Linked DNA regions of Oryzias latipes. The protein of the gene in region 2 purifies or fractionates together with the protein of the main gene of each other region. This does not show direct contact. Links are inferred from orthologs where the notes say so. Each region holds a gene or a part of one and is shown on either strand. Other genes may lie near its edges.

Region 1 (6,396 bases), on a different chromosome or scaffold from region 2:
ACTTAAAGACCACGACTTTCCTCACTTTTTCCACGTATGACCATTTTTATCTGAGCAATATGTACTTAAGGAACGTAGTGGGTGTGTGACACGGCCTTAAGATGCTGCTCCAAAGTTCAGCCTCTGTGTTGCATAAGTCTCCCTCACTCGTGCCGTCATGAACACAACTCCTGCTTTCTTTCAGCAGGGAGCTCCACACTCCTTGCTCGGTTCCAGTCTCATCTTTAAGGCATCATGGAGGAAGAAGAGGCCTCTGCCAACGGTGAAAGGGAGAACTTTGCATCAGATCACTATGCCGCCGAAGCCCTGGCTGCAGACATGGATCCCTGGATTATTTTTGACTGCAGAAAAACTCCCAAATCGGAGTTTGATGCCTGGCTGGAGAGTAACCGGCCCTCCCAAGTGCACAGGTTTGGTGACGAGAAGAGTGGCGTCGGCCCCGTGGGGTGGATCTCTGTGAGGGGCCCCGACTACCATCCCAGTGATGAGGACGTTGAAGATCTTCAGGAGAGCTGGGAGAAACTCCTGGCCAGTGGCAGACCTGTCACCTTCCAGACCGTGAAGGAGCTGGCCCTCAACCACAGAGTGCTCAGTGGGAAGTGGCTGATGCACCTGGACTCTGGTTTTAAACTGGACCACGCGTGGGAGTGTGTGGCCAGAGCAACCTTGGAGGGGAAGATCTGGTGCGCCAAAGTCAGCCCCTTGGACCCGAAAGGAGACAGTCGCCACGTCATATGTGTCTATAACAGAAACTTCACCGACGAGGAGGACGTCATGAAGCTGGACTCCGTCATTCGCTCCACGGGGATCAAGTGCCCGCTGTTCTACAAACCCGACGTTTACACCTACCTGGGAATCTACCGAAGGAACCGCTGGGAACTTAGCCCCACCATTTATGAGAGCAGGTTTGACCTGGAGTGCGTCCCCCGGCGTTCCCACATCCTCAACAAAGTCACCAACCTGGAACTGACATAGTCCAGTCCGGACGGGCAGCGCGTTTGGTGGGACTGACGCCTAAGAGTTCTGCTCCTGTTTACCGGGCCACGGAGCGGCATTTGCAGATGTTTTGATCTTCCTTTATTTTGCTTTTTTGGAAAGAAACCAATCTGTAATTCCAGCAGTATTTGATTTGCACTCATTTCTTGTGGTTGGAACAACCTACGGAGCTGGAAGGGTGACAGAAATCTGAACTTTGAGACGTTTTTGATAGTTTGAGAGAATTCGTTCTGTTTGAACCACGATCAGCCAAATAAAACACTTTTGAAGAATTCCTTTACATTCTGTCGATTTTATTGTGAAAAAAGGTTAGGCATAATGTCTGTGTGTGGAGGGGGGGGCTGCTGACCAAAAGCAAAACAGAAAAGTCGGTTCTTTGGACAGTAACCGTAGAAACACCAGGATAACAGAAGCAGGAACACGGACTGGTCTGCAAGCACATGTTCAACCTGTAAATATTTACATGTAGACCTTCATGTGGTTCTTTACACACGCAGACAAAACCTTCGGATGACACTTCAAACCAAAGGGACACTTGATAAAAAAAAAAGGGTATAATGCTAACATGCCAACATACCAGGCTGTTCATTTTTGGATTCAAAACCCCAAACTTCCTCTAAAAACAGCAGATAAACTTGTTCAGATACAGTACAAAAACCTGCCAAACACGTGTCAGCGAAGCGACGCCATCATCAGCTGATGAACACGCGCGGGTCGTCTTCCACATAATGGTTCTGTAATGATAAGGACATGATCTGAATCTGTGGTTGGGGGGTTTCTTTGTCCACAGTGAGCGGTCTTTCTGTTTCCCCTTGGCATCTTTTCAGTCCTGAAGGCAGAAAGCAGAAGTCTTTGGTGAAAGGGTCCTTTAGGTCTGGCGTCCCGCCACAAACTCGGCGTGATTTTCATTTTCGTAAATGGACATGAGGCGGTCGTCGTCGGCGGACAGCAGCTGGTAGTCGTCGGGTTCTGCGTAGCCGCTGTGGTGGTTGTTGAGGGGGGCGGCGTCCATCATGCCCTCGCTCTGCAGCAGGTTGACGATGCTGTTGGGGTAGTTCATCCAGGTGCTTCCTGGGTTGCCAGCAGGGTCCGAGGGGTTCTGGCCCGCTGTGGGATTCTGGGGAGGTGCGGTGGCGTGGGGCTGCTGGCCCGAACTTCCAATGGGAACGGCGCCACCCCCGCCCACGTTCAAAAGGTCCTCAAAGTCGTCCATGTTCAGGCTATCCAGGGTGATGGGGACCTGGCCCTCAGAGAAGCTGGGGAACTCTGGGAGGTCGTCTTCTGCGGGGTTTGTGGAGAACTGCGAGGCCTGGAGGGGGAAGGAGCTGCTGGCCTGAGGGGGCGCACTACTAGCTTGAGTGGCTTCTGCCTCCTGATTCATGGGGGACAAAATGTTGGGGAAGAACTCCTGAAGGTCTGCTATGTTGACTGTGGGGTATTGGTTGCTCGCCGTGGAGGCGCTGATGGTGGTGGAGGAGGAGGGAGCGGCTGATGAAGAACTCCCTGCGAAGGGGGTCTGTAAATCTTTCTTCAGAGTCTCCATAAATCTCCAGGGTTGGCTTGAAGTTGCGTCGGGGAGCTCCCTCTTGTGCGGCGCAGGGGCCTGGATCGGCTGAGTGAAGAGGAAAGGGGCCTGTGGTTTGGCTGCACTGGCACCAGGGGGCGTCTCGGTCCCTGAAAAACAAACAGTTTCAGTTCAACAGCTGCAATTCCACTCTATCCTTACATACAGGCAGGCGGCAACAGCCCCGCCCACAACTCAGAGGATCATTTCTAACAAACTCCTGCCGCGCTGCAGAAACTATGTCCTGGAGACGACCGCAGATGTTTAGATTTAGGCCAAAAACGTCATTAAAAGATTACTGTTAACACTTTGAAAATAGATAAAAACATGATCAGAGTGAAGCTTCAGTAATATTTGCAGTAACTAAAGTTAAGGAACAGTTATTGTCCAAGTTTTTGTGTTTTAAGACCAAGACTCAGCCAGAGCCGCAAAGTTCCACTACATGTTTAGAAAATGTGATTCATGTTTTTGTGGCCATCGAGGCATTCATTCATAAAATCTAGCTCGTAAATATTTACTATAATTGAATTATAACTGTGTTATGTTTTTCTATGTAGAAACAAATTTAAGATATTTTACTTTTGACAGCATTACGTACGTAAGTTCCTTTCAAAATAAAACATCCTGTGTCAAATGAGAGCCTCCTGCTACGGAAGATTTACTTGAAAAAAAATACAAGAAACCCAAGTAAAACCATTGACTGTATATGAGAACTGGACTGAGTGACCCCCCCCCAGCGTTCCAAACAGGAAGTACCTGCTAGTTCCAAGAAGCCAAAATAAGCAGTTGTTACTCAGTCATTCTATTGGTCAATAATTCTTGATATGATACATTTTTATAAACGTATTAATCTTTTTCAAATGATTTTTTTTCTGTAGTTATTCAAATTATAAAAGGACCAATCAGATGCCTCAATTAAAGTAGGTGGTGCCCTGTTGAAATTTCGAAACATTTGATTGACAGATTCTACTGAGTCTGCTTATAAGTCGTAGGGGTGTGGCCTTCGAACAATTTCACTCCTGATTGGTGAGAATAGTTGCAATAGAAACGTTGGCTCAGCTCGACTCGGACCAATCCAAAAAAAATATTAAATAAAAGGCGACTGAACTGACTTCATTTGGTTGGAGGCTGAAATAAACCATTTTCTATCAATGACATCACTCAGTCCATTTCTCAGATACAGTCGACAAGTCAAACATCTCCTCTTTTTTTGTCCTTTAGCTGTTTATTAAATATAAACATGACAACATTGGCGTAGAATCCGGATTTTCTGTAAAAATCTATGCATATAGATGCAATTCTTTGGTTCTGAATGACTGCATCTGAAGATCAGAGTAGGAGCTCTACACTCATTCTTATAATAAGCTACTCTGACAGTAGATGAAACCTTTAACCATCACAGGCTCGGTTACATGACTAAACTTCATTAAATAACCTATAATTTCTTCAAGCGATTAGCATTTTCTTGAAAGCCAAATTGTCCCAATAAAGGGTTGCAGACCCGTGTTATTTTGTTTTCAGTGGATTTTCCGTAAATAACAACATTCAAACCTTAAAGGAACAACATCAGATGCAAAATATTTAGGATCAAAACTCACCGGTTGACACATTCACAGAGGAAAGTTTAGGTGGGACTGTTCTCCTTGCAAAGTTCATTTGCCGCCGGTCTGATGGGATGGAAACTGAAACAACAGATGCCGTTTTTTTGGTCATAAACACTTTAACAAAAACCTTCAAAGAACAGCTAACAGTATCTAGTGAGCGTACCACTGGACAGCATCGACCCCAGCTTCAAGTTCTGGAATACATCTGCTGTCCGCTTTCTCTTCTCATTCAGCCGGTATTCATCTTTAGGAAGAGTGAAAGATTTCACATGAGGATGAATGCATGACATGTCCTAGGAAGGTAGAGATGTGTGCATCTTACCTGGGTCAGCTGGTAGGTACTGGAAGTCCACAGGCTCGCTCACTTCACGGTCAGACGGCCGCCGAAGCTGCATCTTCACCTTAACTGGCTCAACAAGGTTGGTGTCACGGTAGGGCGGCGTGCGGAAGACGATCGCCACCTGCCTGTGCACGTCCGCCTGGGAGAAGGTGCCCTTCCCCTCCCAGGAGTCCTGGAAGAAACGCACCTCGATGTCCTCTGCAGGGAGACGGGAACATGGGAGAACACCAAAGAATTGAGGAGTGTGCGGTGCTTTGACAAATCCCAGCTGGTCACAGAAAGACACCGCCGTCTCTGGAGTTTCGCTGGTAAACCAGCTTCCGTAGGGCAGCAGTCTGAAAAGCCGCCTGAATGCTTTCCTCACACGTGAAAAGGCGAATTTTCAAAGATCCAACTGTGCTGATGCACCAACGGCTTTAAGGCGACAGATTCCTGTGCTGACGAAACGTGAACGACATCAGTACCTGCAAAGCTGTGAGGTGCGAGGAAGATAAAGAAAACAAGGGCAGAGGACCAAGAGGTGGAAGTTGAGAAAGGAAAAGTGCTGTTTGGCTTTTAGGGAGGAGGTGACACATACTATGGGAGATCGGGAGGGTCATCTGCAGCTAAAGTGATCATGGAGCCAAGGAGGGTCCAGATGTGGACCGCCGGTGTAGGTACCATAACCGTTCGGCCTACAACAACCGTCAGGGGTCCTTCGAGTAGTGCTGAGGTCACATTATGTGATTGGCTGTCCGTTGGTCCGATGACGTTTTAGATAGTGATTGGTCTGGACAAATTATGACACTACCATAGAAAAAGACATTATGAAGTCCAGAGTAAGCAAACAGAGCTCCGACACAGAGCGGGGTTATCTTGTAAACGTGCTTTTATTATTGTTCTGATTATTATTAAGTCCATTTGTAGCCAAACGGCCTGCGTTCTGAACCCTTCTCCGGACCGAACACTCTAACAAAGCACCTTCCCCGCCTATGAACACGAAGCTACAAGACTCTGGCTGCTCTGATCAGAGACACGGTTCACTCTGTGGAGCAGCAGGTTCATTCTAACAGCCACAGATCTTCTTACAAAGTGGGTTGTGGCTAAATCTCTCTATAAACACTACAAACAATAATGTAGGACAGAACTTATGAAGGAAAATAACTTTACGTTGCAAAAAGAAACGTGAAATGAAAATATGTAGAGCCCGAGCAGATCTCCATGCTACATAGTTTGTCCAAGTGGGGCCACCGTAGTGTGACTGGAAGGACCCCGAACGGTAGTTGTAGGCCGAACAGTTATTGTATCTACACCGGAGAGAAGAGTCTGTTGGTCCGGATGTGGACCGCGGTCCGCCATTTGGTGATATCTGGTTAAGGGGCTCTGAGGCAGAGCTGGAGGCAGCAGAGATGAAGATGCTGAGGTTCTCTTTTGGAGTGGTCCGGGTGGATCTGGAATGACCATCAGAGGAACAGATCCTGGTTGTGGAGATCAATGCAGAGAAGCAGATGGAGAGGGTTTGGACAGGTTGAGAGGAGGAACAGTGATGATGTCGGCGAAAAGATGCTGAGGTTGGAGCTACCAGGAAAGAGAGGAAGACCAAGGAGGAGGTTCGTGGAGGAGGTTGTGTTGAGTGTTCCCAGAATGCAGAAGGATGTAGTTTCTGTTTTACTAGTCTATATCTGCACGCTTTCACATTTAACCCCTCGACGCCTAAAAATGCAAATATGCATCAAACCACTTCTGCTCCAGTCTTGCCTTAATTTAGCATCGAAAGCAAAAACTTAAGCCAATGTTTTCACAGCTGGTAACAAATTCAGGCATCAAAGGGTTAAGACACGGAGGAACACAGCATCAGAAAAGTTTGATGCTAAGTTATGAGAGCCCTCATGTCACTGGGAAAAACAAACAGA
Region 2 (6,472 bases):
ATGTCAAGTTAACAGTTCTGTTATATTTCTGTCTGTATAATTACAAATATTTAGTTTTTTGTAACTTTGTTGCCTTGTTTATTTGTTTTATTTATAGATTTCTAAAAGTCAGGAAAGTTCTTCATTAATCATCAGAAGTGACATTGACAAGTCTCAATAACAAACTGGTGACGATACATTCAGGGTAAAAACAAAAATAAGAAAACACCATTTAGCCTATTCACATGCACACAAAATGTTTCACTGTATATTTTTTTTCTTGAGCAACATGTGAACAGGACAAATTGCAGTCTATCAGATATCGGCCATTAGCCTGAAAGGAGCAGTCGGATTTTCATCAGCAAGAGACAGAAGACTCAGAGGAAGCTTAAAGTATTTAAGGCAATTGCTGTTTCCCTCTGGGAATTGCGTGCTGTTCAGTTTGGATGTACAACATCCCTACAAGAAAAGAAGAAGAAAATATCCATTTTGGTGGTTCTAGCTAATGCTAAGATTGTCAGCGCAACATTTAACAAGAACAGACTCGTGAAGTTTTAAAAACTAACAGAAAGTTTCCAACTTCTGTCATTGAATAGGGAAGTATGGCCTCTGTACTTTCCCATTGAACTTGGACTTATGAGGAACACAAATCAAGTTAATTTGCAAATTTATAAAAATTACTCCCAATCACCTGATTTTGGTAGGCTTGAAAATAATTGACTTTTTAAAATCCAAACTCTTCCTGTTTATTCCTAACAAGCTTCTTCTTTGAGCGTGAAACTTTTCTGCATGTGACTGTGATTATTGAACCAGAAATGCGGTCATCCAACATGCGCCCTGTGAGCGTTATAGACATCTACACCTGCAGTCTTAGCCGCTGCTGTTTGTCCTGGTGTGGACGTTTTTGAACGCACCTGTGTCCGTGTCGTGCTCCTGTGCTCGTGAATTGTGGCATTGATAGAGGATCCTCCGAAGCTCCAGGTTATGGAACCACACCTGCAGGAATGTGTTGACGTAACATGTTGCGCCAAGGTTGGTCAGTCCAACAAATGTGTTCTGGAGGGGGAAGTGTCAGACACGGGCAGAGGAAGTGAAGTGAAATCCAGACAGGATAATCAAATCCTACTTATTTGCAGAGGATTACAGACAGACCTTATCTCGCCGTTCAGAATTTGGATCATCGATGTTGTGGAACGTGTTCTCATCGATCTCCCCGAGCCAGGCTTGTTCACCAATACCCACGAGGCAGTTGGGATTTCCTTTGCAATTTCTTCTGTAAATGTAAACGCAGCTGATTAATTTCCTGTTTTCACAAAACTAACCTCTATCAGGCTTTTCATCCCTCGTCTGTCCCGGAGCCAACCGGACTAGCATCCTAAGAACAATTCAAACACAACCAGAATCAAAAGACCAATTCTGTCAAAGGTTGGTGAATCAAATAAACGTAGTAACTACCAGTTAAAGTGTAGCCTTAATGGTTCAGTCAGTTTCCAAGCCACTGTTCTGTCTGATAACAAAGACAAAAATCATGTAAAAAGAAACAAAAGGTATTATAATCTCTGTAAAACTAACACTTTATAAGAGCAAATGGGAATGAAGCAAACCTAACATCTGATAACTGACTCCATGCATGGAGACCAGTAGCACCAATGGAAACTACTTTCCTGCGGGGACAATGGCAGCTTTTTGAATGTTGGTTTGCTGAATCATCATAGCAAAGACATTTAAAAGAGCAGGAAGTTAACACAGACTGGGGCAAAATGCTCAGACTTGCTGTTGTTCAATTCACAGAGATCTGCATGACTCTACAGGAATGTGTGTTTAATCTGACGTGGCACTTTTTAGCTGTGCAAACAGCAGTGTTTGTGTCCAACAATTAGCCACATTGATGTCAAAATACACCGTTTGCCAAATTACAAAAACAAAAACACCATGGCTTAATTCAACCTGGAAAAACAAAAAATCAACATAGTATTTTTAATTAAAATTTATTTTAAATGCTGTTGGTAGGACTTTAAAATAATGCAGAATTACTCAGAAAGAAAGGAATCAAGAAATAACCCCGGTAATAAATGCTAATAAAACATTTTTTGTACATACATCATTAGTGATTACTTCTTTTATTTACTGTATTTATTGTTTCATGTACAATTCACTGAGTAAAATGTCTTTTTTTTTTAAAGAAATACTAAAAAAAATATATTATTTGGACTTTTTTTTAAAGAGTTTGTTCTGTGTTTATAAATATTTATTAATTTCAATTGAAACATTTTACAGGGTTGTGTTCTTAAAGAAAAGAGAAAACAAAAGGAACAAACACAAACTGAATAAAACACCATTTGGTATTAAAAATATTTAATCCTTTCATCACTCAGTAGTATGAAGGCAATGCTTTCCAGACCTCAAAAGTCTAAGTCAAAGCCAGTCAAGGCCAGCCCTTTCCATATTTCATTTACATTGAATTTTATTTTATTTTACTTAATATTTGATTTACAAGGATAAAAACAATATCATTTTGTTTCTAATTGATACTAACTTTACATTTTTAGTAACTTAATTTTGTTTTGTTTTTAGGCTGAATACATAAGATGCATTTTCTGTGTTTCCTAAGTAGGTAGAACAATAATTAATGAACAGCCCGGTAGTTCCTAGTAGTTACCTTCCCGTTTGTTGATCATTTGAAAACAATAATAAGTATAGTTTCCAAACTAAATGGTAATTAATACATAAAAAGCTAGCTTGACAATCTAAACAGTATGTTGTGCATTTCGTTGGAAACGGTTTTCCTTTTTTGGCAGACAGTAAAGTTCACACAACTGTTGACAAAATGACAAATGCACAGACAGACACATGATGAGCAGAGTATGAGTGCTGTGTACCTGCAGGCTCCTCTTTTGCAGGCCGGGAGGTTAATGCGATATGCTAACTCGATGTGCTCCTGTGTGATTTCTTCTGGTTTCACGTGTTCCACCCAGCGCCAAGCTGCCTTTTCCAATTGTACACGAGGCGCCATTATCCTGCAATTAAACGATCCCCAGTGTTTGTGCGCTTTTACGCAAATTGGTTAATAATCGGGCGGTTTTCCAAGGATGCTAACCCAATAAGCTAGCCGGAGCTAAGCTAGTTGCCTGGTTCTCAGAGGACAAAAGTACGGCTTCCTGGCCGAACCGGCAACCTTATATTGTGCTACGCTTTACAACACAAAGTCCAGTGAACAAACGCCTAATCCAAGCCTCAAGCGAAGCTCGTACCATTGTGATTCTCGAACAAGAACATCTTTATCAAACTCACAACTTAAGTCCCCCCGCTAAGGCTAAACTGCAGCTAGCCCGACCGGCTGAGCCTCTTCCTTTTACCGCGAATTGACGACAAAATGTGAATTTATTGTGTTAAAAACAAATATGCTCGAACCTTTCATGAGTGCCGCCACTTTATCCACACACTTGTGTAATTTGGCATTTTTGTACAGCTTGTTTTAGATTTAGCGCGCTTGCGTCAATTTATAAATACATAATTTCTGCGCTCAAAATCAACACGACGTCAGACAATGACGCAGCAACGTACGCCGTTTTTTCCCCTTCCAATAACTTTATTTGTTTGTTTGTTTTTACACACAAACATGTCTGTTAACAAATACAAAAGGGGGGGGAAAGAATAATTTATAAAAGAAACAAATACGAACTAAATATTTAAAACTTTCCATACCTCTTAAAGCCAAAGAAGTCCACTTTAAAACGTTTTTAGGTTTCTGATTTCCAATGAATTGCTCAGAAAACGGTTTGGAATTCCTGAAAATTGTTGTTCTTTTTGTAATGAGGACATTGAAACAACTGAGCGTTTATTCTTTGAACGTTTTTACTCTAATGCCTCCTGGAACAATGCACATTATTGGCTTTTCCTCAAGAGTCCATGTTTAGCAGATTTTTCTATTCAGGACATAATTTTGGGGTTTTATATTAGAAAACATAAACACAGAAATGGTTTTAAAAGTTATAATTTTCCAGGGTAAATACACAAATGCTGATTCCTTAAAATCAAACCATATTTTTTCACATTTCATAAAAACTCTGCTCTTATTTTTCATCTATAAACTTCATGGAATATAAACCTGCCGTGAAACTCCAAAGTATCATAAATAAATTACTGCTTTTTGATAACCCATAAGATTATGATCATTATAATGCCCATGTAACCCCTTTTTTATTTTAATCTTATTTAATGTAAGTTTGTATTTTTTGTGTTATCGTATATTCTTTTACTTAATTTTATAATTGTTGTTCATGTTTTTATGTGCCCATTCTAATTTTAATTTGATGAACACCTTGTACAACTGCCACACATATTGTAACCCCCAAGTTTTTCTTTTCAATTAAAAAAGAAAAAAATGTTACTTTTTTTTAAAGTCAACAGTCCATTATGTCTTAAATGTTTGTCTCAGGTTTAAAAAAGTGTTTTTTTCGTTGAAAAGCAATTGTAAACACAAATTGAATATGGTGGTACTCCGGCATATATTTGTATATATTGTATATATCATATATTGTCACTGCACAATTAAAACAGTACATTTCTAAACTCTCAACTGTAAATGCCTTGTGCAATGTTTGGTTAGTTTGTGACAGCTATTAAAATATGTAGAATTATATGTTTATGTTACATATTATTCTTTTGACTGATTAGACCTATCTTTACGTGGTAATGGACACAAAAGCAAATTTTCACAGCAAGATTTTCTTTCTTTTTTTTTACATGAAACATTGATATTCCGTTTCAGAATTACTAATCGACAACATAATGATATTTACAAAACTCACTCACAAATGTTTGGCCAATTTTTACACTCAACACAAAAATGCAGCAATTTATCAATGTGGAGACCTCAACTAAACAGTTTGTCTTATCAACGCTGTTTATAATGACAATCTCTCAATAATACAACTCCTCTTTCATTGATCGACTAGTCCTGTATTTTTACAATGTAATTTGTCTTTTTTTATTTAATGCACGTTGTAGTAATAATTTGTATTTATTTGATTAAATGTTTTGCTTCATGATTTGAGGTGGATCGTAAAAATCCTTTTTGAATGTTGTGTGACAAACAATATAGTTCTAAAAACCTATTGTGTAACACATTGACAAAGACCAAGTATAATGGATTAAAAGGCAATTAAAACCAGAATAAAACTAAATAAGAAAGGCATTATTATATGTACAAGATCCATATGATCTTTTTTTTAAAACGGAACCTCATAATAACCGACAAGACGAGTCTGTTTCCGTGTTACACCGCATGTCGCCATCTTCAAAACGGTCAAGCTTTATTGCGCATTTGAAGCTGTTCGCGAAGAAGTTTAAATAAAGACTTGGATTTTTGAATAAACCCAGGATTGTGTTCACGGAGCGGTTTAAATAAAGATTTGGATCGTAGTAATTTCAGGTAAAGTCGTTTTGAAGCAGCTATTAATGTGACTGCGCAGCTGGTTCCTGATTCGTATGTTCGTCGGTGGGGTTTGTTTTAAAAACATTGAATCAATTGGCGGGTTTCTCCCAGTTCTGTCCATGTTTAAATAGTTTATTGTTCTGTCCATGGAGGATTTGGTTCTGTCAAGGGACCTACTATGAGGAGACACACTGTGTCCTTCCACACACTTTTGTTAGGTACATTCAGAGAAGGCACATCGCTAATCAGTAGAGCCTAGGACATCTGTGTATGTTTTAGGTTAAATATTTTTCAATTTAACATTTACAGATAAAAGAAAAATTATCTACACATATAGAGCAATTCACATTGTTATTTTCTTGGAAGGCTGTTGTTATCATTAGGTCTGGGTTTAAGAATTCTATTTGTTTAGATGCAGCAATCAATGTTGTTCAATAAAGGCAAAGATTTGTTTATTTTCTTTTTTAAATTACCCCCAAATTAGTTTTTTAATTTGGGTAAAGCTCCAACATAGTTCATTCCAAATCTTTAGTCATGTAAAAGTGTTCATCAAAATCGATCAGAATCAAATGTGAAATACAAATTAGAAAAATAATCAATTTAAAATGAAATGGCAAATGAAAAGGAATCATGAATTTGTAAGTTATACACAATTGCCGTCTGAGTTGTTGAGTAGCTTTTGTTGATTCTGGGTGATCTCTACTTCTAGGTTAATTAATGAAGTGTGTCTCAGGAGAGGAAGTAAGTCCTTTTATCTGCAAATGATCACAAGATCATCTAATAATCTCTAAAGAAAAAGAAAATAGCGTTTTTATGAAAAGTGTTTGTCAATAATTTAATTAATAAGTTTAATAATACAGTTTAAAAAAATAAAGTTCCAGTATTGTTCTTCTTTAAAAACTAATGGTATTATAATACATTGTGACACATTGAAATATACAAGGACAAAATAGTTGTCAGTAAAAAGAAATAAATTGATTTTGGAAAGATTTTAATAGGTTATATTATATAAAAATTTACTCAAAAATGAACAATCAAACATTGATTTTGAATTGT

Evidence for each region. Proteins that work in one complex are often made in the same cells at the same time.
Region 1: the proteins of usp48 (region 2) and putative transcription factor p65 homolog purify together in Homo sapiens (affinity purification with mass spectrometry; 3 studies listed by BioGRID, with this or other methods). This does not show direct contact. The link is inferred for Oryzias latipes from reciprocal best matches to the Homo sapiens genes USP48 and RELA.

Annotation. Positions count from the first base shown.
Region 1 is NC_019876.2:27,223,434-27,229,829, reverse strand, and holds the end of putative transcription factor p65 homolog, read right to left. Parts: intron 4,703-6,396; coding exon 4,487-4,702; intron 4,409-4,486; coding exon 4,328-4,408; intron 4,243-4,327; coding exon 4,159-4,242; intron 2,671-4,158; coding exon 1,865-2,670; 3' UTR 1,273-1,864; downstream 1-1,272. Other genes in the region: UPF0696 protein C11orf68 homolog, read left to right, coding at 235-975; UPF0696 protein C11orf68 homolog, read left to right, coding at 972-975. UniProt on the Homo sapiens protein: NF-kappa-B is a pleiotropic transcription factor present in almost all cell types and is the endpoint of a series of signal transduction events that are initiated by a vast array of stimuli related to many biological processes such as inflammation, immunity, differentiation, cell growth, tumorigenesis and apoptosis.
Region 2 is NC_019863.2:19,935,636-19,942,107, forward strand, and holds the start of usp48 (ubiquitin carboxyl-terminal hydrolase 48), read right to left. Parts: upstream 3,534-6,472; 5' UTR 3,391-3,533; intron 2,997-3,390; 5' UTR 2,993-2,996; coding exon 2,859-2,992; intron 1,253-2,858; coding exon 1,132-1,252; intron 1,036-1,131; coding exon 894-1,035; intron 1-893.